6 linked regions of the Canis lupus familiaris genome follow. The protein of the gene in region 2 interacts with the protein of the main gene of each other region in a pairwise test. Links are inferred from orthologs where the notes say so. Each region holds a gene or a part of one and is shown on either strand. Other genes may lie near its edges.

The links.
Region 1: the proteins of TEX11 (region 2) and CDKN1A interact in binary tests that used the Homo sapiens proteins (3 or more experiments, as listed by UniProt). The link is inferred for Canis lupus familiaris from reciprocal best matches to the Homo sapiens genes TEX11 and CDKN1A.
Region 3: the proteins of TEX11 (region 2) and CCDC198 interact in binary tests that used the Homo sapiens proteins (3 or more experiments, as listed by UniProt). The two-hybrid records come from large-scale screens. The link is inferred for Canis lupus familiaris from reciprocal best matches to the Homo sapiens genes TEX11 and CCDC198.
Region 4: the proteins of TEX11 (region 2) and MAD1L1 interact in a two-hybrid assay, tested with the Homo sapiens proteins (2 studies listed by BioGRID and IntAct). The two-hybrid records come from large-scale screens. The link is inferred for Canis lupus familiaris from reciprocal best matches to the Homo sapiens genes TEX11 and MAD1L1.
Region 5: the proteins of TEX11 (region 2) and HYI interact in binary tests that used the Homo sapiens proteins (3 or more experiments, as listed by UniProt). The two-hybrid records come from large-scale screens. The link is inferred for Canis lupus familiaris from reciprocal best matches to the Homo sapiens genes TEX11 and HYI.
Region 6: the proteins of TEX11 (region 2) and ING3 interact in a two-hybrid assay, tested with the Homo sapiens proteins (2 studies listed by BioGRID). The two-hybrid records come from large-scale screens. The link is inferred for Canis lupus familiaris from reciprocal best matches to the Homo sapiens genes TEX11 and ING3.

Annotation. Positions count from the first base shown.
Region 1 is NC_049233.1:5,926,990-5,931,028, reverse strand, and holds the start of CDKN1A (cyclin-dependent kinase inhibitor 1), read right to left. Parts: upstream 2,801-4,039; 5' UTR 2,681-2,800; intron 1-2,680. UniProt on the Homo sapiens protein: Plays an important role in controlling cell cycle progression and DNA damage-induced G2 arrest. Involved in p53/TP53 mediated inhibition of cellular proliferation in response to DNA damage.
Region 2 is NC_049260.1:55,268,688-55,272,187, reverse strand, and holds part of TEX11 (testis-expressed protein 11), read left to right. Parts: exon of another isoform or gene 1-269; intron 270-521; exon of another isoform or gene 522-611; intron 612-787; coding exon 788-909; intron 910-2,753; coding exon 2,754-2,839; intron 2,840-3,500. UniProt on the Homo sapiens protein: Regulator of crossing-over during meiosis. Involved in initiation and/or maintenance of chromosome synapsis and formation of crossovers.
Region 3 is NC_049229.1:33,319,767-33,323,834, forward strand, and holds the start of CCDC198 (uncharacterized protein CCDC198), read right to left. Parts: upstream 2,801-4,068; 5' UTR 2,608-2,800; coding exon 2,385-2,607; intron 115-2,384; coding exon 32-114; exon of another isoform or gene 27-31; coding exon of another isoform or gene 1-26. UniProt on the Homo sapiens protein: May be involved in tuning the metabolism, energy expenditure, and excretion processes.
Region 4 is NC_049227.1:15,036,169-15,039,668, reverse strand, and holds part of MAD1L1 (mitotic spindle assembly checkpoint protein MAD1), read right to left. Parts: intron 1,106-3,500; coding exon 965-1,105; intron 1-964. UniProt on the Homo sapiens protein: Component of the spindle-assembly checkpoint that prevents the onset of anaphase until all chromosomes are properly aligned at the metaphase plate.
Region 5 is NC_049236.1:16,826,926-16,831,106, reverse strand, and holds HYI (putative hydroxypyruvate isomerase), read right to left. Parts: upstream 2,801-4,181; 5' UTR 2,760-2,800; coding exon 2,561-2,759; intron 2,482-2,560; coding exon 2,370-2,481; intron 2,162-2,369; coding exon 2,030-2,161; intron 1,435-2,029; coding exon of another isoform or gene 1,369-1,434; coding exon 1,254-1,368; intron 1,101-1,253; coding exon 1,022-1,100; intron 931-1,021; coding exon 881-930; intron 786-880; coding exon 716-785; intron 594-715; coding exon 459-593; intron 348-458; coding exon 274-347; 3' UTR 194-273; downstream 1-193. UniProt on the Homo sapiens protein: Catalyzes the reversible isomerization between hydroxypyruvate and 2-hydroxy-3-oxopropanoate (also termed tartronate semialdehyde).
Region 6 is NC_049235.1:59,197,551-59,201,819, reverse strand, and holds the start of ING3 (inhibitor of growth protein 3), read right to left. Parts: upstream 2,801-4,269; 5' UTR 2,739-2,800; coding exon 2,711-2,738; intron 2,464-2,710; coding exon 2,392-2,463; intron 1-2,391. UniProt on the Homo sapiens protein: Component of the NuA4 histone acetyltransferase (HAT) complex which is involved in transcriptional activation of select genes principally by acetylation of nucleosomal histones H4 and H2A.

The sequences.
Region 1 (4,039 bases), on a different chromosome or scaffold from region 2:
TTTTTTTTTTTAACAGAAGAAGTAACTAAGACCTCAGAGAAGTAAAGTAACTTGCCCGAGGTCACATGGCTCACAAGTGGCACAGCCAGGATTTGAACCCAGGCCTGTTTATCCTGGGTTCCGTGCTCTGGTGTTCATCCTTACTCCCTCTCTAGTTTTGTGTTCCTAACCAGAGGCCCAGCAGAATCACTTAGGGAGCTTTTTAAAAAATACAGGTTGATAGGTCCCTCTCTTCCCAGAATAACTCAAACTAAAGGGGATTTAAGCCCCTGGTTGGCTCAGCAGTTGAGCATCTGCCTTCGGTGCAGGGCCTGATGCCGGAGTTCAAGGGTAGAGTCCCACAGCCGGTTTCCCGCAGGGAGCCTGCTTCTCCCTCTGCCTGTGTCTCTGCCTCCTCTGTGTGTCTCTCATGAATAAATAAATAAATAATCTTAAAAAATAATAAAATAAAGGGGATTTAAGCAGGTGTTTGGCAGTTCCCCATATGGGCACTCTTGGGGTGCCTTTCAAGAGAGGATACACAGGATGGCCTCACTGGCACAAGGAGGAGGAGCCTGCCTTGGCTTTTCACCAGGAGGCTGAGTATTCCCAGGCTTCTAGGCGCTCAAGATGGGACCAGAATCCAGGCAAGGATCCTCTCTCCTACCACCCTATGGCCCTCATAGGCTCCTCATCAAAATCTGATCTCATTCCCATTATCGTAACTCCCAGTTCAGAGAAAAGTCAAATATAAACCCTTATTTCACAAACAACCGAGAATAGCATCCTTGGTTGGCCTTCGTGTCTTAGACTTCAGCCAGTTTTAATTCCGAAGTAACCAGTAAGCACTGAGCACCCCGCGATGAGCCAACGGGTCATGCTTTTTCAGGGGCGTTCGCAGCTGCGGCTCAGGCTCAGCCGCGGCGCAGCGAGGCGGGAAGGGAAGGCGGGCTTGCTACTCGCTTCGGGGCCGGACGGGGGCGCCGGTCTCCAGGAAATCACGCGCAGGGTCGGCGTGTGGGCAGAGCCGCGAGCCGCCGCCGCGAGCAGCGATGAGTCAGTTTCCTGCGGAGCGCTCCCCGCCCGCCACAACTCTGCGTGCGCTCGGGCTGCAGCGTCACCCTCGGGTGGGGAGGGGAGGCGGGGGGCGGACCGGGGGGCGGACCGGGGGCCGCGAACACGTCACGCTGAGCCAGCCAGGCTTCCGAAAGCCCCGCCACTGTTGGAAAAACGCGCGCGCCTCCGTGACACACACACACACACACACACACACACTCCGCACGCAGAGGCGCGCAGAGGTTTGGTCCCTCCACCTTATCTCCACGCCCAAAGCACGGGATGAGTCAGATCCCTGGAAAATAAAAATAGACGAAAGCAAGGAAAACAGAACCGCTCGACAGTCCTCGAACCGCGACGTGGAGGCAGGGAAGGGGGGGCAGGGAGGGAGCCGCCCGGGCACCCCAAAGCGCCAAACCCAATTCCAAGATTCTTTTCCGCAAGAGGCGGGCGCCCGTGTCCCCCGAGGGCCCCCGACGGGGGGGGGGGTGCACGGTGGCCCGCGCTGGGCGGCGGCGCCCAAAGGACGGCTCGTCCTCTCGCTGCGCGCTGAGCAGTCGCCCTCGGACAGGGCAGTTTGGCGAGGGGCGCCGGGAGCCCCCGGATGTGGCCGTCAGGGTGGGACCAGCCTCCAGATGGGACCTCTCCGGGTCCCTCGCCCCGCGCGTGGGCTGCACGCCCCGCGGCCCCGCGGCGCAGGTCTCCCCTCCCGCTGCGGAATGCGGCGCCCCGACCCCAGGGCAGGCGGGGCGCGAAGGAGGACAGGTGTGTCCGACCCCTGTTCTTCTCCCACGGGCCGGCTGGAGCGAGCCCAGCCCGCGCAGGGCCACCGCTCCGGGTCCCCGAGGGCGCGCTGCGAGGCGGGGACCGGACACCCAGTCCTGGACCTCCCGATGTCCCGGCTTCCCTGAGAACACTTTGTGCCAGCCAAACAGTCACTGTGCCGATCGGGGCACAGACACCCGGGGCGGGGAGGAAGCCGACTTCTGGGGCGCCACTGTCCCCCAGCCCGGGCGGGGCTCTGACCGCACCCGTCCCATTTCCCGGGGTCTCCTTGTCACCGTGAGTCACCTCCTCGATTGCCCTGAAAGGATGTGTCCCAACACGTTCCCAAGGACCGGGGGGGGTACGCCGCCCGCGCTGACCTCAGCGCCCAGCCGGTGGCGGACGCGGAGGCGTCGGGGACCCCGGCCGCAGGGGTCTGGGCGGAGACGGCGCGGATTGGATCGCAGCCGCCGGGAGCGGAGGGCGGTGAACCTGCCGGGCTCGGCGTTCCCCGCCCCTCCGGGGGCTCCGCGCCCGGGGGCTCCCTCCGCGCGCCGCCGGGGGCCTGGGGCGCGCGAGTCCACGCCTCCCCTGGCTCCAGGGCGGGGGGCGCGGCAGGGGATCCCCCGCTCTGCTGCGCTCCCGCCGCCCCGGGCTTCCGACACAGCCCGACCTCCGGCACAAGCGCACCTTCCGGAGACACCCGTGGGAGCCGAGCCCAGCCCCACGCGCCGACCCACGCACGTCATTCACCTGTGAAGACGGCACGCGCACGCACACACTCACCCGCTGGGACACTAACACACACACACGAGGCGGACACCTCGGCCGGGCTCCGAGCCGCCGGCCCAGGCCCCCTCGCCGGCCACAACGCCCTCACCTCCTCCGAGGGTCTCCGGCTCCGCGAATCCGCGCCCGCCTCCGCTCTCCAAGCCACCGTCTCCCGCAGCAGCTCGCGAGCTGGCACCGCCCGGTGCCGCCTTATATAGGGACCGGCCGCCCCGCCCCCAGGCCTGGCACCGCCCCTTCTGCCGCCGTCCGCCGCCGCAGCTCGCAACTCGCCGGCGGCTGGAGACCTCCGAAGTCAGACGCCTACACCGCGGGCTGCAGGGGGGCGCTTCCCTCCCCGCCCCGCGCCCCGCGCCCGGCGCCCCGCGCCCCGCGCCTGGGTCCCTGTGCTTGACATGTTTCCCCACTAACTGAGCCACAGACCGGGGTTGTTTTCGCTGGGTTGGGAGTTGGCACTCCCCACGAAGGGATGGCATTCTTAGGATGAGCCCTTCTTCTGGCCCCGAGAAGATCACGAGGGGTGACATTCATAGATAACACTCCATAAATAAAAGCATAAAGGATGTGCCTCGCTCGGCGATTTCCAGAAAAGCCCACTATACCGCCAGTCTTCCCACAGACCCCTCACTAGACCGCCTCTTCCCAAGCACCCAGACACGCCAACAAAGCATCTTGGAGACCAGAACCGGATTCGATCCCCCTTCTTTCACAGATGAAGAAATTAAGGACCTCAGGACTAAACGGATGCAAAGTTGTTGCTCGCCCAATGCCCCCGGGGAAGGAGGGAATGGGGAATACTCAGAAAAGGTCAACCAGGTCTCCAGGGGAAAGCAGGAAATGGGGGAAATTGGACATTGAACCAACCTCCCTACCCCTCCTCCTCGTGCCCACATCCACCTCCTTCTCACCTCAACAATAGAGATCTCTATGATTGCAACAGATTTTTTTTATTTTTTTATTTATTTATGATAGTCACACACACAGGGAGAGAGAGGCAGAGACACAGGCAGAGGGAGAAGCAGGCTCCATGCACCGGGAGCCCGACGTGGGATTCGATCCCGGGTCACCAGGATCGCGCCCTGGGCCAAAGGCAGGCGCCAAACCGCTGCACCACCCAGGGATCCCGCAACATATTTTTTTTTTTTAGATTTTATTTATTTATTTATTTATTTATTTATTTATTTATTTATTTATTTATTTATGAATGAGACAGAGAGAGAGCAGGAGCAGAGGAAGGGGGAGAAGTAGGGAGAGAGGTAGAAGCAGACTACCTGCTGAGCAAAGAGCCCAACTCCAGGCTGGATACCAAGACCCCAAAATCATGAAGCAAAGACAGATGCTAAACCAACTGAACTACCCAGGCACCTCTGATTGCAACAGATTTGATAGCTAGGAAGGGGGAAGGACTTGGTTAGCAAATTATCTCCTGGATATTCCCCCGCACAATCCG
Region 2 (3,500 bases):
TTGAAGTTCTGGATGTATTCATGCTCTAGTTTAGCCTGGAATTTCACTTTCTTCAAGGCAATGGAGCCAGGGAACAGCATGTCCATAAACTGACAATAGGCAGCCCCTGAGCACAACTGTTCAATCTTTGTCAGATTCAGCTGCAGAGACTCATTCATCCAGGCCAGCATGTCATGTCGACTTAGGTTATCACTGGTGATGGATGTTGAGTATACGTTCACTTTGGCTCTTGGTGGGACTGTGTCCACTGCCTGTGCCTGGCTTTGGTTCTGTCTTCATTTCATTCAAACCACCCAAACTTTTTATTCTATCTTTAAAAAATATTGCTGAACCAGAACACCTGGGTGGCTCAGCGGTTGAGGGTCTGCCTTCAGCACAGGGTGTGATCCCGGGGTCTGAGATCGAGTCCCATGTGGGGCCCCTTGAGGAGAGCCTACTTCTCCCTCTGCCTAGGTCTCTGCCTCTCTCTCTCTGTGTGTCTCTTATGAATAAATAAATAAAATATTTTTAAAAATGCTAACCATATTTGTATGTTTTTGTTCACTTTTGCAAGTATATCCATGGGATAAATTCACAGGGGTGAATTGCTCAGTTGGGTATTTTTCTGACATTCAAGTCCTCCTTGACATTTTAGCAATTTAGATGACTTTATGAAAATTAGCTAATATTTTAAAGGTATTAGTGCTCTTAATATTAATTCCAAAGTCACTGTATTATAATTAACCATATATAGCTATTATCTTTGATAAGAATATCTCATTTTTTATATTATTTCTTTCCTTTTCAGCTTTGCAGGCAATTACTACTTTGGAGAAATTATTAGAAGAAGATCCAAAAGAGAATGAGCTACTTACAGATAGAGATTCACCTGTCATGCTCCTCAGTATAGCTGCCCATTTTGCTCTAGAAGTAATTCTTATGTATTTATCTACAAGATTTTTACCTCTTTTCCATTTTGAGAGACAATTAATGGAACTCTTTTAGAGGAATTTTCTACAAAGAAAAGAAATTAGTTGGTAGTTGGTGTGAGAAGTAGGATGAGAAGTTTGTTTGAGATGGAATGAATGAGAATGCTTATATGCTGATGGAAATGACCCAGTAAGAACAAAAAATTGACAGTGTGTAAGAAAAAAGAGAATTGTTAGAGCAATGTCCTTAAACAAGCGAGAGGTGATGGGCACAAGTGTATAAATTCAGGGATTGGCTTTACAAAAGAAAATGGTTAGTTCATCCATGAAAGCAGTTGAGGAATTAGAGTATGTGGTATGGTTCCTGGTGTACGAATAAATGTGGTAGTGGGAATCTGGAAGCTTTTTTCCTCACTGCTTCAGGTTTTTCAACAAAGTAGGAAACAAAGTCATTGCCTGAGAGTGAGAATGGGAGAGGAGGTGTTAGGGAGTTTGAGAAGATAAGATAAGGTGTAAACTAATCATGCAGGAAGGCAAGAAAGCAAATGACATGGTAGTGTGGGGTGCTTGCTTGCCCAGTAAGTATTAAGGCCTATTTGATGAAGTTTTAAAATAAAGAAATAGTTGTACAGGTTTTTATCCAGCCACCTTCAGCTCCATAGATATAGGCACAAAAGTCAGTAGAAAGTTGAATTTAACCAGGTTTAAGGTTTTGCTGGATGAATACAATGGAGCAAAAGAGGAGTAGCAAAATCAAGAAACAAGGAAGTGGTTATAATTAATCCCCATGGAATTTAAACTAAACATGGAGGAGGACATCAAGGGGATAAAGGACAGTGAAAAATTTGTAGCATGAATGGATTGGAGGTCTAAGTGCAGTTGAAGGATTGCTGGAGTAATAGAAAGGAGTGAATTAGAAAGGTAGGAAATAGTAGTCAATAGAATACATGAGACAGAGCAGGGTGCAGGACTAGAATGAGGAAGTGAGACACTTAAGGAAGCACTCACTTTCTGAGTCATGCAAGTGTAAAGTTGGTTCTTGCAGGAGTGGTTTTCAAGAAAATAACTTTGCAGTAGATAAGTCATCAAGAAATGAGAAGAAATGGCCTAAGAGCTGGTGGATCAGCACAATGAGGAATGGTGGGTGATACAGTCTGATGACAGGAAATTCGAAGCTAGGGATTTAGGGAGGAAAAAGGAAGAATAATTTTAAAACATCAATGAAGAACAAAAACTACACCTACTTCATCTCCAGGCCTAGGAGTAGAAGGGAGACAAAAGAAAAATTGCCACTACATGAGGGGGTTCTTTGGAAGCAATCCTTGATGGGATCTAGATTTCTATTACAGAAAGAATGTGGAGGGAACTTTCAGGGAAGAGGTTGCTCATAGAGAAGATTTTGATGATAATGAACTAAACTTCAGAGAGTGTAGTAGAAAGATTGGGGGAGTAGGGGAGAAATGGGAAAAGAGTAAACGGGGGATTTATAGAGCTTTATGGAGACTGGGGTGCTAGAAATAATCTGGAGTCTGGGGTTCTTTCGGTTACTGCTAATGAACAGGGATAAAGAGCACAGTATTAATCCTAGTGCATTCATGGCAGTGTTGGCAAGTCTATGAGTATTTATGGATAGTGAGGAGTGGGTTTCTGGGGCCAAAATGAACCTATTCTCCTTTTGTCAATGAATTGTTTCTTCATTCTACCATCTTGAATTAGCTCTTTTGATAATATAAAATGAACAAATTCAGATTTTTTTTCTTGTCCTTGAAAGGACAGGAATATAGGTAACATTTTGTAAGTATCACTTTGAGATGTAATTTAACATATTATATTTGTCTTTTTTAGAATGGACAACAAATTGTGGCAGGAAAAGCTTTGGAATATTTAGCTCAATATTCAGAAGATCCACAACAAGTCCTTACAGCTTTAAAGTAAGTAATTCATATCCTGTAGATGTGGAAGGATTTCTTGTTAATCTTAATCTTGGTCTATAAACTTTGTCAAAATAGTATTGATGTGATGTCATCAGGCCTACTATACCAATTGTTATTTTAAATTTTTTCAAGCTTTATTGAGATATAATTGACAGATAACATTGTATAAGTTTAAGGTGTATAACCTGATAATTTGATACATGCATATATTGTGAAATGGTTAACACAACAAAATTAGTTAAATTATTCATCACCTCATGAAATTACTATTTCTTTGTGTGTGGTAAGAACATTTAAGATTTAGTCTCTTCCCAACTTTCAAATATATAATACAGTCTTGTTAACTGTAGTCACCATGCTCTACATTAGATCCCCAGAACTTGTGCATCTTATAATTTGAAGTTTGTAACCTTTGACCAACATTTCCCCACTTCTTCCACACCCAGCTTCTAGCAAACACCATTCTATTCTGTTTCTATGTTTTGCTTTTTAATTCTTAAAGATTCAATACATGAGTGAGATAATACATTATGTCTTTCTTTGTCTATCTTTCCACAATGCCCTCAAAGTCCAATAATGTCACAAAAGGCAGGATTTCCTTCTTTTATATGGCTGGTTGGCTCAGTCGGTTAAACATCTGACTCTTAATTTCAGCTCT
Region 3 (4,068 bases), on a different chromosome or scaffold from region 2:
TTCCTTATGAAGCCTTTTAAATTCATCTTACTTGAAGTCTTCGGGGTGGATGCCTTTTAATAATACTTGTTTCTCCGTGTTCCAGTGGAATGTCAAAATACATGGCCCTGGGCACTTGAAGGATTGAGAGAGAAATAAAAACAAACCATTAAAAAATTGACTATTAAATTAGGTTAATCGTTAGACTTCACTAATATGATTTGGTACCTTTTTAGTTATATATGTGCAACCTATATGTTGAATATGGAGATGAAACACATAAGGCAGGGGTCCTACATGAATGCCAATGGTAAAACATTAGTTTAGACCTAGGATTTAATTTATTGAATTCTTCTCTAGTTTGATAGTTAGAGGAAAATTGGAAAAATCAACAATGTATTGACTACAAATATTGTTAAAACATAGAATTTGGTCTGAAAAATAGAAACTTTTCCGTTTGTTTAAATTTCATGAAATCTATTCAAAATAAATTTAGGAAATCAGAAATAATATATCCTTAAGAAATGAAAATAAATTCTCTTCTCAGATGATATAGTTGGATGGTGGATAGATAGGAGATGATTAAAAAATGGAGCATGAGTTTGTGATAGAAGTAGCAATGTTTAGCATTGTATGTACCTAATTAAATAGTCCCCCCAGCTAGAGAAGAAATTCCCACAAGTCGCCCTATCATACAACATGATCATGGGGCGCTAGGACTACTACCATGACCAACGCTGCATGAAGGAAGTTTTGTCTTTTCCTCTTAGTAATCTGGAAGCATTCTAATTTCTAGATTGTTGCATGGACTAACCTATAGTTTCACTTTGCATTGTAAATGGAAAAATCCCTGTGTAATTATGTGTTTCTATCCTTACAGCATTTGAATGACCACCTTAAAAACTTCACCATGTTTATATTTTCTTTCAAGAGATGCTGGCACATTGAACAAGACAGAAACAACAGTAATGACAACAAAAAACATTTTTGATTAGAAACCGTAAGTATTAAAAATATGTAAGTATTTCTGGCAACATTTTTTTTAGTAGCCTAACAACTCCTTATTTTAATATTATGATTTGAGTGATAACACCTCATTATTTACTTTGATTCATCCAAAACAGCATTGGCTGTGTCAGGGCAGTTATTTTTATCCTTGATTTATAGGTGAAGGAAACTGATGCAATAATTTGCCCAAACTCATATAATTTGGCATTTGGTGGAGCTGGGCTTAGAGTATGGGTCTCCTGAAATTAGTGATCAGAATGCTCAGCATCCCTTTGTTATTTGTAATGTGATTTTGTCATTTCAAAAATAAGAATATTTTCCATGTAGGACTCTAATGCATTAGAATCAGTTTCACTATTCAGTTACCAGAATCTTAAAACTCTGGATAGAGGGTTTGGATAAAAAAGGAACTCTTCAATGAAACTAGAGGAAAATTCCCCCCCACATGTTTATGAAATTGGAGAACATAAAAATAGGCCATTTACCCAGTCAAAGCTGGTCAGTTCTACAGAGAATAGCTATGAGAATCAGTCTGGGTACGATCTACCAGATATACCAAAAGAGAATATAAAGCTTTCTGGTCAGGTTGACTAATAATGGGAACTTACTTGTGTTATTGATCCAGAATATAAATAAAGAAAAAAATACATAGATATACTACATAGATAAACATATGTATACATTATATACTCATATTTCTCTTCCCAAGTTAGAATCTCTGCTTAATTGTCATTGTGATTGTCAAAAAAATTTTACATGTCTTATAAAATATTCCAGGATAATTGATAGCCACTCCAGGCACAGAGCTTCCAGTCATAATGGGAAAAATTCTCTTAGTTCTCCAGATGACAGAACTTAGTTCATATTCTGCATGAAGAATGTGGGGTTGGGGAGGGGGTGACTCATCCTCTCATCTGTACTGCAATAAATCAATTCTGTTTGGGGTGGTTTCCAAATTCACATTAGGGTGAATTCACTCCTCAAGTGTTGCTTTCAAAATAACAAAGCCTGATGCACTAAGTGGTGCTGGAGAGAATGGTTTAAATTTAGAATCTAACTGAAACATATGATTGTCATAATTTATCACATCTTATCTATATAATTTTAATCATCTGGCAAAGCTAGGTGTAAACATTGAAAGCACTATAAGCTGAAACCAAACGATTTTTTTCTTCTCGTGTGGAATGGTAAAAAGCCCTTGGGTGCAGAGTTTACACACTCATTCTAATGCACCCAGACTACTTGACAGACATGCGCTTGCAGCTTGAAAGATGTTCCCTTACAGTCAGCAATTTAGAAATTTTCTGATATGATTATGGAGACGGACAGTCAAGTACATCTGTTAATAGCTTCCATTGGTCCAAATACACAAATCTCATGATAGGTGTTACACGTACCTGCAGCGTATCTTCCACACCAGGTCTCTCGTAGAGGTGGCAGCTGCCCTTCCAAAGCTTTATTCCGGTCCTGCAGTCTTGCGAACAAATAGGAACTCTTCTCTTCCAGATTCTGATTCAATGCAAAATCCACGGGACTGGCCGAGGGAGTCTCTACCTCTTTGTTTTGCAAGGGTGCTACTCTGGTCACCCGAGGGTGAGCCTTAGAGTGGCTGAGGCCCATTTCAAGGTAAAGATATTCAAAGTACAATCATGAGGGAAGTGGTTTGGGGCCTTGAATTTAGCTTATTCTAATTAAGGTAGGTCAGAATTTTATCCCAGCTTCACAAAGCACTTCATGGCATCTTTCTAGCTTTATTCCACCACACAGTAAACCCTCTGGCCACTTCCTGGGAGGCTGGTTTCCATGGAGACGTCCCTTTAGCTCCTACTCTGCCACTTCAGACCCAAAGAATCCGGTTAAACATTGACTTGTTACGCTAGTTTCTGAAAGACTCGGTGGTAGGAACAGAAACCACTGTTGATCATTAAACAAATCTCTAACACCGGGAAGGCCATTAACAGGGATGGAGAGCAGAGGTTTACAAACGTCTTAAACTTGACTTTCTATTGCATGTACCCTTCAATACCATCTTTGAGAGCTACCATTGAAGAATAGCTATATCATCTTCAGAAACGAGAGGATACACACTAATCATCATTCGTTAATCTTTAATTTTAATTGAAGAATTTATTTTCCATATAGGATAGGTAACAACAGAGTGGCTAAAATAATTTTATTTTTCTTTCAATACCTTGAATTGCCTTTGAAGGGGATTAATACATTACAGGAAGGCAGGGAGACAACAACAAGGGGCCAAACTTTTTCTTCTTCTTTGTTTTGAACTGTAGTTAAGGTATAACTTAATATTAGATTCAGGTGAACAACATAGCGATTCAACGATTCTTTTTTTTAAATTTTTTTATTTTTTGCGATTCTACGATTCTATCCATTACACTGTCCTCACCATGATAAGCATAGTTACCATCTGTCATCATACAATGTTACTACAATGTTATTGACTATATTCCCTATGCTGTGCTTTTCATCCCTGTGCCTTACTGAATTTATTTATATCTGGAAGTTTGTACCTCTGAATCCCCTTTGACTATTTCACTCATTACCGCAACTCTCTCTTCTTCAGCAACTACCAGTTCTCTGTATTTATGATTCTGTTTTTGTTTTTTGTTCATTTGTTCTGTTTTTTAGGTTCTGCAAATAAGTGAAATCATATGGTATTTGTCTTTCTTTGACTTATTTCACCTAGCATGATATACTCTGGCTCTATGCATGTTGTAAATGGCAAGATCTTATTCTTTTTTTATGGCTAATAGGCCAGTGTGTGTGTGTGTGTGTGTGTGTGTGTGTGTGTATTCTAATAATGTATACCTTCTTTACCTTCTTTACCCATTCATCTATCAATGGACACATGGGCTGCTTCCATATCTTGGCTATTGCAAATAATGCTGCAATAAACATTGGGGTGCATATATAGCTTTTTGAATTGGTGTTTTCTTTTTCTTTGAATACATACCCAGAGGACAAACTTCTAGAATAAAGGATTCAAATAAGCCTTAGGTTTTCAAAGATAGCTTATTAACAATGCTTTGAAAATAGGCCAAAAAATAAGACTGGAAGAAAAGG
Region 4 (3,500 bases), on a different chromosome or scaffold from region 2:
CACTATTCTTACAAGACTAAGAAAGTGTGCAAATATGCCACGTAACTAAGAAAGTGTGCAAATATGCCACGTAAGGCAAGAATGGGGCCAGATATCCACCCTTGGGGAAAGCGTAGGCAGATAAGAGACTTTCTGGTCCAGTGCTTTGCCCGAGTCTTGGCAGCATTTCTGCAAATGATGAGCACTTATTGACAACCCCTGGCAAAGTGCTGTTGATAAAGCAGAAGAAGAGATTTACACCCTCAGTAAAAACCTAGTACCTTCTCTAGGTAATGGAGGGTTGCACTTTCACAGCCTGCCCTGGCTAAGCCAGGGACAACAGGAAGTACTCCCAAGACTAATCCTTGGTCTTAGGCCCTATAACCATGTGAACAAAACTGGTCTGGCCTGGATCTGAGACCTTTACACAACCGGTGACTTTCTAAATCTGTCACTCGGGGGCACCTGGGTGGCTGAGTGGTTAAGCATCTGCCTTTGGTTCAGGACATGATCCTGGGGTCCTGGGATTGAGTCCCACATCAGGCTCCCTGCAAGGAAGCCTGCTTCTCCCTCTGCCTGTGTCTCTGCCTCTCTCTGTGTATCTCTGATGAATAAATAAATAAAATATTTAAAAGAAAATGCTGGATTTATAACCCAGTTCTTCAGGGCAGGTGGTTTGGGGGTAGCAGGGAAAACAGGCAGCTCAGCAGAGGAAGGCCCACCAGAACCAGCACCTCCCTAGGCAGACATAGCAGACAGCTGTCCCCTGTACACTGCCCACCTCAAGGACATCATGCATAGTTGCTATCTGTGGCCTAAGAAGGCAGGCCCTAGCACCCCACAGGCTGAGCACCCAGGCTCCCAGCCAGGAGGCTCACATGCCGTATGGCCTGGCAGGCTGTGTGCACAATGCCATGATGCCAGAGCCAGCTGCCTGCACCCTCCTCAGAGCTCCTAATGGCCAGAGCCACCTCCTTGCACCCACCTCATAGCGCCTGGCACTGGTGCTGGCTGCCCGCTCCAGCTCCACTCGTGCTCTCTTGTGGCTCAGTTCCATCTGTATCTTCTCTCGCTCCACCTGGACAACCTGGGACTTGGAGCGGATCCACTCTGCTCGTTCTTCCAACTGATCAGGTCACACCCAAAGGAAAGAGAACCTTCAGCAGCTGTGCCAAACAGGTGAGTGGCTTGTCTAACACTCACTCACTGAACACCAACCCCCCAACGAGGCCCGAACTCAGCCCTGGGGACAAAGGCTGGATGCTGGGTCCTTCGTTGGAAATGAGGAGAGGCAATAAACAAAAACTAAACACTAACAAGAGAAAAGTATACTTTAAGATGACAGCATGTAGGTTTGTTTGAGAAAAAGGGGCATGTTAGCTTCCTATTGCTGTGTAGCAAATTACCACCAACTTAGCAGCTAAAATCCCATAGTAGTGGCCAGGTTCTGGGGGCAGAAGGCCAGGCACCCACAGGTTGTCTGATCAGGATCTTATAGGCTCAAATCAACACTGAGATCAAGCTCCAAACTCATCTGGGCCTTAGGATCCTCTTCCACACTCTCATGGCTGGAGGACATGCTGTCAGTCCTGCGCTGCTGTCACCTCCTAGAACCCGCCCACATGCCTTGCCATGTGGCCCTCTCCACCTCCAAAGCCAACAAGGGACAATCCCCCATATGCAGAATCCTTCTCCTGCTCTATGTGGCTGATTGTTCTATCTGACCTAGCCACCTAGGTTCAAAATGCTCATCTGAGAGGTCAGGCCCACCATCTTGAGGTCGACTGATTTCAGTTCTTAATTATGTTGGCAAAATCCTGCTACCACAAAACCTCGTTGGTATTTAAGTGGGAGAAAGTGTGGTCCACCAGGGGCCAGGGATTTGCAAGCCATCTCAGAAGTCTGCCTACCACAGAGGGTAGGTACATAAAGGTGGGGTCAAGCCTTGAAGGCCCTCAGAAGACCCACGAAACAGTTTCACAGAACCACTGACTGTGTCAGGGCCTCGTCCTCACCCGGACTGGAGCTTGACTATTCCAGGAATGGCTGGCAACACAGCAGCTTGCAAGCACTAAAAAGAAATGCAGAACCTCAGGCTGCACTCCAGAGACGCCCAATCAGAATCGCCCTTTTACACAGTCTCAGGGTTTCAGAGGCATAAAGTCTGAGAAGCACTGGGCTAGAACAAGTGGTTGTCAGTTCCACCAGGGACTTGGCGACATCCGGAGACACCGCTGTCAAAAGAGGGAGTGGTAGCATGTGTTTGCTACCGGCATCTAGTGGGCAGAAGCCAGGGATGTCCCTTAACATCCCACAAGGCTGTGGTCCTGCAAAACAAAGAATTATCCAGCCCAAAATGTCAGCAGAACCACAGATGAGAAATCCCAGACCAGAAGAAAGGCATCTTCTCTACCCCCCACCCCACCCACACACTCTTTGAGGGCCTAGATCCACCCTTTGTTTACTCCTCTGACATTTCCTCTCATTTCAGTTCACGTCGGTTAAAGTGTGGGGTTCCAAAACCACCCTCCATCAGACTCACTGGCCTTCCCAGTCTCTGCCTGCAGATAAGGCCCAGCCCCTCCAAAGGACGGCAACCCCCAGCTCCCATGGGCACTACCACACAGTGAGCAGGAGCCCAGAGAAACGTATCTATGGCCACATCTTCCTGGTACACCAACTGCATTTGAAGGAAAGTAACTGAAACATGTTTGTATCAAATCAACACTGACATGTAGCAGAACAGACTGCAAACAATTTCCCACAGAAACCAGAGCTTAAAAAAAGGGCAGGGGATGGGGATCCCTGGGTAGCTCAGCTATTTGGCACTTGCCTTCGGCCTAGGGCATGATCCCGGAGTCTCAAGATCGAGACCCACATCGGGCTCCCTGCATGGAGCCTGCTTCTCCCTCTGCCTGTGTCTCTGTCTCTCTCTCTCTCTGTCTCTCATGAATAAATAAATAAAATCTTTTTTAAAAGGGGGAGAGGGGGATCCCTGGGTGGCGCAGCGGTTTGGCGCCTGCCTTTGGCCCAGGGCGCGATCCTGGAGACCCGGGATCGAATCCCACATTGGGCTCCCAGTGCATGGAGCCTGCTTCTCCCTCTGCCTGTGTCTCTGCCTCTCTCTCTCTCTCTCTCTCTCTGTGACTATCATAAATAAATTAAAAAAAAAAAAAGGGGGGGGGGGAGGCAGAGGGGTGGGGGGAGGACTGCTAAGCAAAAATTTCCAGACTCTCCAGACCTCTAAGTTCTTAGTTCCCTCACCTGCCATTTGAGGGTAGCTTGGTAGGGCACAAAACCGCTAAGTCCTGGCACACCACAGGACCAGGTCAGGGCCCTCGCAGGTCCTCCAGCTACAAGACTCTAATCAGCTTAGTCTGACTATGGGATCCCCCAAACTGAGGAGGCCCTCAATATCACTAGCTTAGTGAGAACTTGGCTTCAGAAGTTCCATAGTTCTGACAAATTAGCCCAAAGTTCCTGGACATTTGCATCAACGAAATTGTAACACTTTTTTAGAC
Region 5 (4,181 bases), on a different chromosome or scaffold from region 2:
CCTCTGAAGCCCCTGTGACCACAGGCAAGTCCCTTTGCTCTCGGACCTCTGGTTTCTGGTGTGTAAATGAGGAGGTGGGCTCAAACCCCCCCACGTGCACTGCAGCACTGGTGCCAGAGACTGGGGTACCTGAGCCGGAGCCTGCAGGGTTAGACACTGCGCCCCCGCCCACCCAATAACACACGCGTGGAGAGACGTTCAGCAGCAGCTCTTTAATTCTAGAGATTGAGGATGCTGGGTGCACTGTCCTACAAGTGCGCGTGGGGCAGGACCTCACTGGCCAGCCTGTGGGCGGCCCCGCCTCTCCCAGTAGGAACGAAGCCAGTTCAAGCCCTCTGCGGTGTCTCCTGAGGAGAGGGGGAGGCGGTGGCATTCACCCCAGGAGAAGAGCAGTAGAGCAGCTGTCCCTCCAGAGCTCCCTCCCCAGGGCCAGGCCCGGAGCCCCAGCACCCCCTCACCTAGAGGCCGGTACTCGCAGCCCACAAAGCCCTTGTAGCCTTCGTCCTCCAGCAGTTGGAATAGATAGGGGAAGTTCAGCTCTCCAGGGCTGTCAGGCTCCCCTCGGCCCGGGACCTGTGCCACCTGCACGTGCCCTGGAGACAGACAGATGTGGCAGGTGTGGGACCCAGGCTCCAGCTGAGGCCCGATGGACACATTTTGGGGGGAGGACAGGAGTAGCACAGCAGACCAGAAGGAGATCAGAGACCCCTCTCACCCACGAGGGGCAGGAACTCCCGGATGTTTCCTGTCAGGTTCCCATCCATGATCTGCCAGTGGAACAAGTCCTGGGTAGAGAATACTGGATCACACCCTGCGGCCCGTCCTCCCCAGACATGGAGCACACGGGCCTCCTGAGCAGCACTCCCTTTGTTCCACTTACCATCTGCAGCTGGAGGTTGGGTCTTCCGACCTTCTGTAAGATGGCTGCCGCTGGGAGAGAGCCCGGGGAGGGGGCCGTGAGCCCCAGGGGGAACCCAAGAATCAAAGGGGCCTGGAGGGGGCACGGGGCTGCAAGTCCTACCCTGCTGGGGCATGTCCAGGAAGTACTGGGGGTCTGTGATGCGGGTGTTGATGGGCTCCAGCAGTCCCACGAGGTTCTCCTAGCACCACGGTGGACCAGTGAGCAGAGCTCCGCTGTCAGCCAGCCACTGAAGCGCCTCACCATTCCCTCTGAGCTGGGCCAGCGCCCCCCTCCCTCTGCACACACAGGCGTTCACATGCATATGTGTGTGGCTCTATGGCCTTGGCCTCACCTGAGCCAAAACCCCAGCAGCGTGCCTCAGGTTCTCCAGAAACACGGTCTCCATTTCACTCCTGACTGCTGCTCGGTCAGCCCCCTGGGGTACTCGGCCAGCCATCAGGTGAATCCTGGGGGAAGATGGCACTGGAGGGGGCTGGGGAGTCCATCCTGAAAACAGGGCCCTTGCTCCTTGGCTCCCTGGGTGCGCCCCTTCCAGCTGTGCTCCCACCTCTACCCGCCCGCACCCCAATAGCTGGTCACCTGGCCGCCATGCTCAGTGGCCTGACTGATCCTCCTGTGTCAGCCTGAGGCCAAACCCTTTTCCAGACACCTTTGAGGGTCACACCATCCTCCTGCGTCAGAGACCCCTCACTGTCCTCTCCACCTCTCCTTCCCAGTCGCCCTCTCCTTGGGCTATAAACGTGTGTCGGCCTCACTTGCTAACAAGTACTTTGACCCGTTCCCTTAAATATTCCGAGCTGCCTGTCTCCACCTCCGGCATCTGTTCCTTCCGTCCTTCCCATCTGCTTTCTGCCCCCACCACTCACCAGTGAGGACCCCCGTTGCCAGTTCCAGCTCAGCCCATTTCAGCGGGATTTGACATTTATTTGATCAGCCCCGCGCCTCCTCCTGCCATCACCTCCTCCCTCCTGGCCACACCCAAGTCCAAAGGCAATGTCTGAGCCTCGGGAACTCTGCTGAGCACGCGCGCCGGTCTCTGGCCACTGCATCCTTGCCCCAGTGCCCCTCACCTGTTCATTCCTTTGAGACCCAGTTTAACATCACTACCTGTATCCGGCTCTGCTCCCCGACAGGTGTCTGCTGGCTCCCACAGCTACCATAAACTGACCCTTACTCAAGTGGACCACTCGGTGGTTGGCTTTGCTCTCTCCCTGGCAGGCCAGCTCCGGGCATGGGGTCCCAGCGTGAAAGAGGAGCAAATTGAGGACACGGGCCAATAAGACACAAAAGGCGATTTACAAAGGCTCGGGGCTAGAGGAGTGAAGGGCCCGGGCACTGACTCCGGACCCTCTGCAACCTGGGTGCTCTCTCCCAGACCCCAACCGCGGGGCAGGGTGTTGGAGGAGGCCGGGCGAGAGGGGGAGGAGGAGGGAGGACGGGAGGGTACCTGGGGCAGCCCAGGGCCCGGGCGTACAGCACTGCCTGCTCCAGCCCCTCGCGGAAGGCCGCCTGCCTCCCCGGGACGGCCCCCAGCCCCATCTCCCCTTTCTCTCGGTCCCCTGCGGAGAGAGAACGGGCCTCAGCCCCGGCCCGCCGCCCCGGCCTCACCACCGCCCCCGCCCCAGCCCCGCGGCGCACCGGGGGGCGTGTTGATGAGCACCAGCCGCAGCCCCGCTTCCCGCGCGGCGCGAGCCACTGCCTCGGGCGGCTCCGCGTACGGCCAGGCCACCTCGGCCGCCTCGAAGCCCGAGCTGCCGGCCGCCCGCAGCCGCGCGGGGAGCCCGGGGAGCTCGGGGAACAGCCACGACACGTTGGCCGAGAAACGGAGCGGAGCCATGGCCGGCGGGGGCCCTGCAGCAGGGCAGAGTCCGGGCCGCTCGGGGAGCGGAAGTAGGCGGGGCGGGCGGGGAGCGCGGATCCCCGGAGGGGAGGGTGCAGCGGGGCGGGCGGGGAGCGCAGATCCCGGGAGGGGAGGGTGCAGCGGGGCGGGCGGGGAGCGCCGATCCCCGGAGGGGAGGGTGCAGCGGGGCGGGCGGGGAGCGCGGATCCCGGGAGGGGAGGGTGCAGCGGGGCGGGCGGGGAGCGCCGATCCCCGGAGGGGAGGGTGCAGCGGGGCGGGCGGGGAGCGCGGATCCCGGGAGGGGAGGGTGCAGCGGGGCGGGCGGGGAGCGCGGATCCCCGGAGGGGAGGGTGCAGCGGGGCGGGCGGGGAGCGCAGATCCCGGGAGGGGAGGGTGCAGCGGGGCGGGCGGGGAGCGCGGATCCCGGGAGGGGAGGGTGCAGCGGGGCGGGCGGGGAGCGCGGATCCCGGGAGGGGAGGGTGCAGCGGGGCGGGCGGGGAGCGCGGATCCCCGGAGGGGAGGGTGCAGCGGGGCGGGCGGGGAGCGCGGATCCCGGGAGGGGAGGGTGCAGCGGGGCGGGCGGGGAGCGCGGAGCCGCCCGAGAGAGGGCGCTGCGGACCGGGCGGGGGCGGGGAGCGCGGATCCCGGGAGGGGAGGGTGCAGCGGGGCGGGCGGGGAGCGCCGATCCCCGGAGGGGAGGGTGCAGCGGGGCGGGCGGGGAGCGCGGATCCCGGGAGGGGAGGGTGCAGCGGGGCGGGCGGGGAGCGCGGATCCCGGAGAGGGCGCTGCGGACCGGGCGGGGAGCGCGGATCCCGGGCGGAGGCAGGCTGGACAGGGTTGCGCGGATCCCGGGGAAAAGTGCATCTGGGGAGCCCGACCCGAGGTAGGGCGCCAAAAGCCAGACTTTTTTGGTTAGAAAAGTGTGGGGTGAAGACTGCGGCTGGTCCAGAAAAGTGACATTCTTCGAGGCTGAAGCAGGGGAAACGCGGGGAGAGGCGCCGCCCCCGCCCGCTCCGACCGCGGGAGGGCAGACGTGGCCCCGGGCCCCCTGGGCGGAGAGCCGGGAGGGAAGGGCCCGCGCCAGCTGACCAGCCCCTAGAGACCCAGTTGAGGAACGTGAGCTTTAACACTTAGTATTTCCCCCTCACTGTAAAAATAGTATCAGTTCGTGTTGCGACGTTTGAAAGCTAAGAGACGAAATCAAGAACATTTAACTCACTACAGTCATCGCACCACTAACCGTTAGCTTTCCCTTACAGATTAAAAAATAAACATAAGCAGGTCTGTTTTCTTAGAATTCTTATCACACTGTACATGCAGCTGTATGGTTTGCTCTTTCATGTGATGCTCTCTTGTGGGCATTTCCCCGTGTTCTTCAGTACCCTTCAAAGTCCCATACCCAGGCAGCCTAGGATTTAT
Region 6 (4,269 bases), on a different chromosome or scaffold from region 2:
TTAAGCACCTGCCTTTGGCTCAGGTCATGACCTCAGGGTCCTGGGACTGGGTGCCCCCAACCCCAGTCGGCTCCCTGCTCAGCGGGGGAGGCTGCTTCTCTCTCTCCCTCTGCCCCTCCCCTGCTCGTGTGCCTGCACCCACGTGTGCTCTCTCTCAAAGATTTTAAAGAAAATCTTTAAAAAACATAAAAAAATAAAACCTCTCATTTGTATAATCCAATTACAAATCACAAGAGAATTTAAAATTTGTAATGATAACGAAGCAAAAATAAGTCACCTTTTCGTGAACTTCTGCTTTGTATCAGATACTATAAATTCTAGTTTAACTGTGTTATTTTAAATCCTCAGATGATCTCCATTCTATAGACAAGGAAAACCCCTCAGAAGTGGTAATGCGGTCAAGGTCAAAGAGTAAGTCAGCAAAACTCTAATACGAACTCGGATCTATCTGACATCAAGATCTGTGCTCAGTCCCATAGAAAACGCTACTTTAGCATTTCAACTACATGACAGTCAAAATGAATTTTGTGGGCAAGCTAAAGAAACACACAGTTCAGACTCCTACACTATGACCCACTGAACATAAAGAAGGCTTCCGTAGCCCATCACCTTGTATGCCGCATGGCCACATGGAACGCACCAGAGGCTCAGGAACCTATATTCATCACCCGTGGGTATGAAAGCGTGGGGTGCGAGTGTGGGGTGGGGAAGCACGGGGGAAAGGACAGGCCCTCAGGAGCTGCAGGATCCTCAGGGATGCTGGGTCTCTGATTTCTTTCCATGATACCCTTTTCCCCCCAGTCATACCCCCAAACCCAGATCCTCCTCCACCGCTACTTTTCGAGGACAAAAAAAAAAAAACCTAGTGGCATGAGAAACATTTTACGTAGATAGCCTAACCACAGCTAGAATAAATGGGATCAAGGCACGTATTTTCTTGAGGACAGACCGCATGAAGGCCAGCCATTAATATCAACTGCACAAGTTTTTTTGTTTTGTTTTGTTTTGTTTAAAGTAACAAATGCAACTTTAATTGATTTCTGGATAAAAACTACTCAGTGCAGGTCAGTAACCATGGCAGCCCCTGCTCTGTTGGAGCCATCTTCAGGCTCCAACAGCCTCCAAGACCATCTGTTGGACGGTCTTCAGGACCTAGGTCAACGGGCTATTTGCATTATCTCATGTCATCCACAGTATTAGAAAAACATTAGATCAATTTAGACGAGATGCGCTGCTGGCAGCCAAGCCTACATCTACAGAGAGGGTGACATCCGGGCTTAAGCGCACACCCCATTGTACATTTTAATCATGTAACGTAAAAAAAAAATAAAATAAAATAATCGTGTAACGTGTAATTCATTCCGCACTCGTAGTTCACAGTATGGTATCCCTGCAAGAGAACCGGAACGGCTGTATTACATTCATTTCATAAAAGGGGGAGAAGGCCTGTGAGGTTCTTTCAGAGCACGACAGGCGTAAATTCGTACTCGTTTTAACTGTGATTTTGCTCCAAGTGTTGACCTCCTCGTTTCCAAGGCACTGACTCTTTCCTTGCTTTGAGTCAAATCCTTCACAAAAACAAAACAAAACAAAACAATCGGATAAACCAAATACTGCTCTATGAAAGAACAACGGTTAATTTTTTTTGGGGGGGTGGGTGGGTAGGGGGAAGGAACCAGACTACCAAGCTACCACTGATCGATGAGAAGTCATCACTTTTATTGCAACAGATAAGCAGCTTTACAGGAAGGTCTATTTTCCTCACTCGTTTTCATGGGGGGGGTGGGGGGGGAATAGCATCATCCTGCTGGCGGGTGGGAATGCATCCTGCAAGGTGCGGCTTTGCAAGACTCGACATTCCAAGTTCAGCGGGGTCACTAAAGAGCCACACCAACCCCCAGGCTGCTGGGTTTTCCGCTCTGCAGAAAATTCTGAGCAGAACCAACTTCAGCAGAAGTCTAAATGCCGAAATCTACGTTCCGGACGCAAGGGCTCGGGCCAGAAACCACCATCTTCTCCACACCTACACCGACGTGCGTTAAAAGCATGTGTCTACGTCCTCCCCGAGGCACAGAAACTTTTATCCCAGTCTTGAATTCGGGAAAGAAACACACACGCGGGCCCCAGCGCCTCCTCCTCGGGTAAAAGCAAAGGGGGAAGCGGCGTGGACAGCAAGAGGCAAGATGCGGCACTGCCTTGTGTATGTGTGTGTGTGGTTTTATGGTTTTGGGGGGGTTTTTTTGGCGTTTGTTTTTTTTTTTTTTTTTTTTTTAAACGACTCCTTATGCACTAGCCCGTGAGCCGGAGGAGAGTCAGAGAGCAGAGGCGACGACGTCGGTGGAAGGTCTGGCCCCGACCGCGCGCGGCCGGGCGGGCGAACCGCCGACTTACTCTGCACCTGCAGGTCCATCTCGCGCATCTCCGTGAAGCGGTCCCGCAGGTCCATGGGCAGCTGCTCAATCACTGTCAAAGGGAGAGGCCGTCAGCGGGGCGGGGCCAACGGCGAAGGGCGCGCTGACGTCACTGCGTGCGTGCGTGCGTGCGTGGGGGGGGCGAAGGAGCCGGCAGCCCACAGCCCGGCTGCCAGTTACCGTGAGAAAGAAACATCCCCCGCCTCCCCCTCCCTCCCGCCATCCCGCCCGCCCGGCCGCTCGCGCGCCCGCCCGCCCGCGGGTCCCCCAGGCGGCCCCCGCCAGCGCCGCCCACTCACTTTCCAGATAGTCCTCTAGGTACAACATCGCGGCCCTTAGAGCTGGGGCAACGAGGGGGTCCAGGGGTTTATTTGTGTCACTCGCTGTCGCCGGAGTTTTGTCCCTTCCAATATGGCGCCTCCGCTAGCAGCACCCGCTCGGCTTCGGCGGAAAAAAAAAAAAAAAAAAAAAAAGAAAGAAAAAAAAAAACCACTTTGGCGCCTGACGGCGCTTGCCTCACTGCCGCCCGGAGCCGTCATTGGCCGGCTGGGGCGATGACGTCAGCCGGCCGGAGTCCGCCCGCGCGGCTTTGTGGGAAGTGTAGTCCGGTTCCCCCCCACGGCGAGGATCGGCGCGCCCGGCGGTTACCGGCGTGGCAACTACGAAGACCAGGCGGCCTTGCGCCCCGTGCGCCGCGGAATCCGAAATGCGGTGCCTCTGTTTATTTGTTGATGCCGGCGCGGGGCATGACGGGAGTTGTAGGCGCCCGCGGAACCCAAGTAGGAGCAACTTTCCACCTGTTCCCGGCCGGCGTGCCTCGGTGGCCCCGGCGGCTGGGAGTCGCGGGTTTCCAGGCGGGCGGGGCAGGTGGAAGGTGTTCCAGCGCCGGAACGGCCAGCGGAGTTCGGGCGATCCGCATTGTGTAAGACAGAACTCCTGGCTGGAACGCATCCTTAGTCTCCGACTGCTCAAAATACCCACGAGGCGCCTGCTTGGCTTTCCTGCACCTGGACGGGTGGCCGCCCTCCACGCGCTCTTTACCTGCTTTTATTCCGCGGTCCGGCTCGTCGTCACCGTGATGTCATCGAGCTGAACGCACGAAGTGCACCCACCAAAAAAAAAAAAAAAAAAAAAAAAAAAAGCAGAACTAGAGAACAAGCAGAAATAACGGATGGAGACTTGCTGCTGTCGAATGAGCTGTTCTAAGAATGACTTCAGGCGGTGTTGAGTAAGCAGCCCGCCCCCAGCTGTCTACACCCGCGGGAGGGGTCATCTTCTACCCCGGGACCCCTTCCCCGCCCCGTGATGGATTCGGTCCTTCACGGCTCAGTTTTCTTTTTCTTAAGAACATCTGCACGCAGCACAGGTCGAGAGCATCTTTCTCTCCCACCTGCCTTAGCTCTCTGTTCGTTTTCCTGGGAAATGTGTCTTCAGTTCGCCATTCAGTGTTCTATTTTCACTTTTTTTTTCTTTTTTTTTTTTTTTTTTTCAAATTGGAGTCGAGACATTTGATGCATTTTTGAGTTTTCTCCCTTCCGCCCTCTTCTACCCAAGACTTTTTCCACCGCTCATGGTCAGGATGCTCACCTGTCGTGTTGGTGAATGTCAAGGGAAACCCACCTCAATTCTAATGATTACCTAGTTTACTTTCTGTACTTTTATCTAAAATCTAGGATTTTCGGGTTTCCTCCCTCCTACACTCCCTTCTTCGTTCCTTCCTTCCTTCCTTCCTTCCGGCTGCCTTTAAGATCTCTTGGATATTTCTGTGGTTTCTCAGTGGTGAATCTAGGTCCATAGTCATTTCTTTGTTTCCTTCCTTCTTACCATTCAAAAAAAAAAAAAGTTCAAACCATGCTTA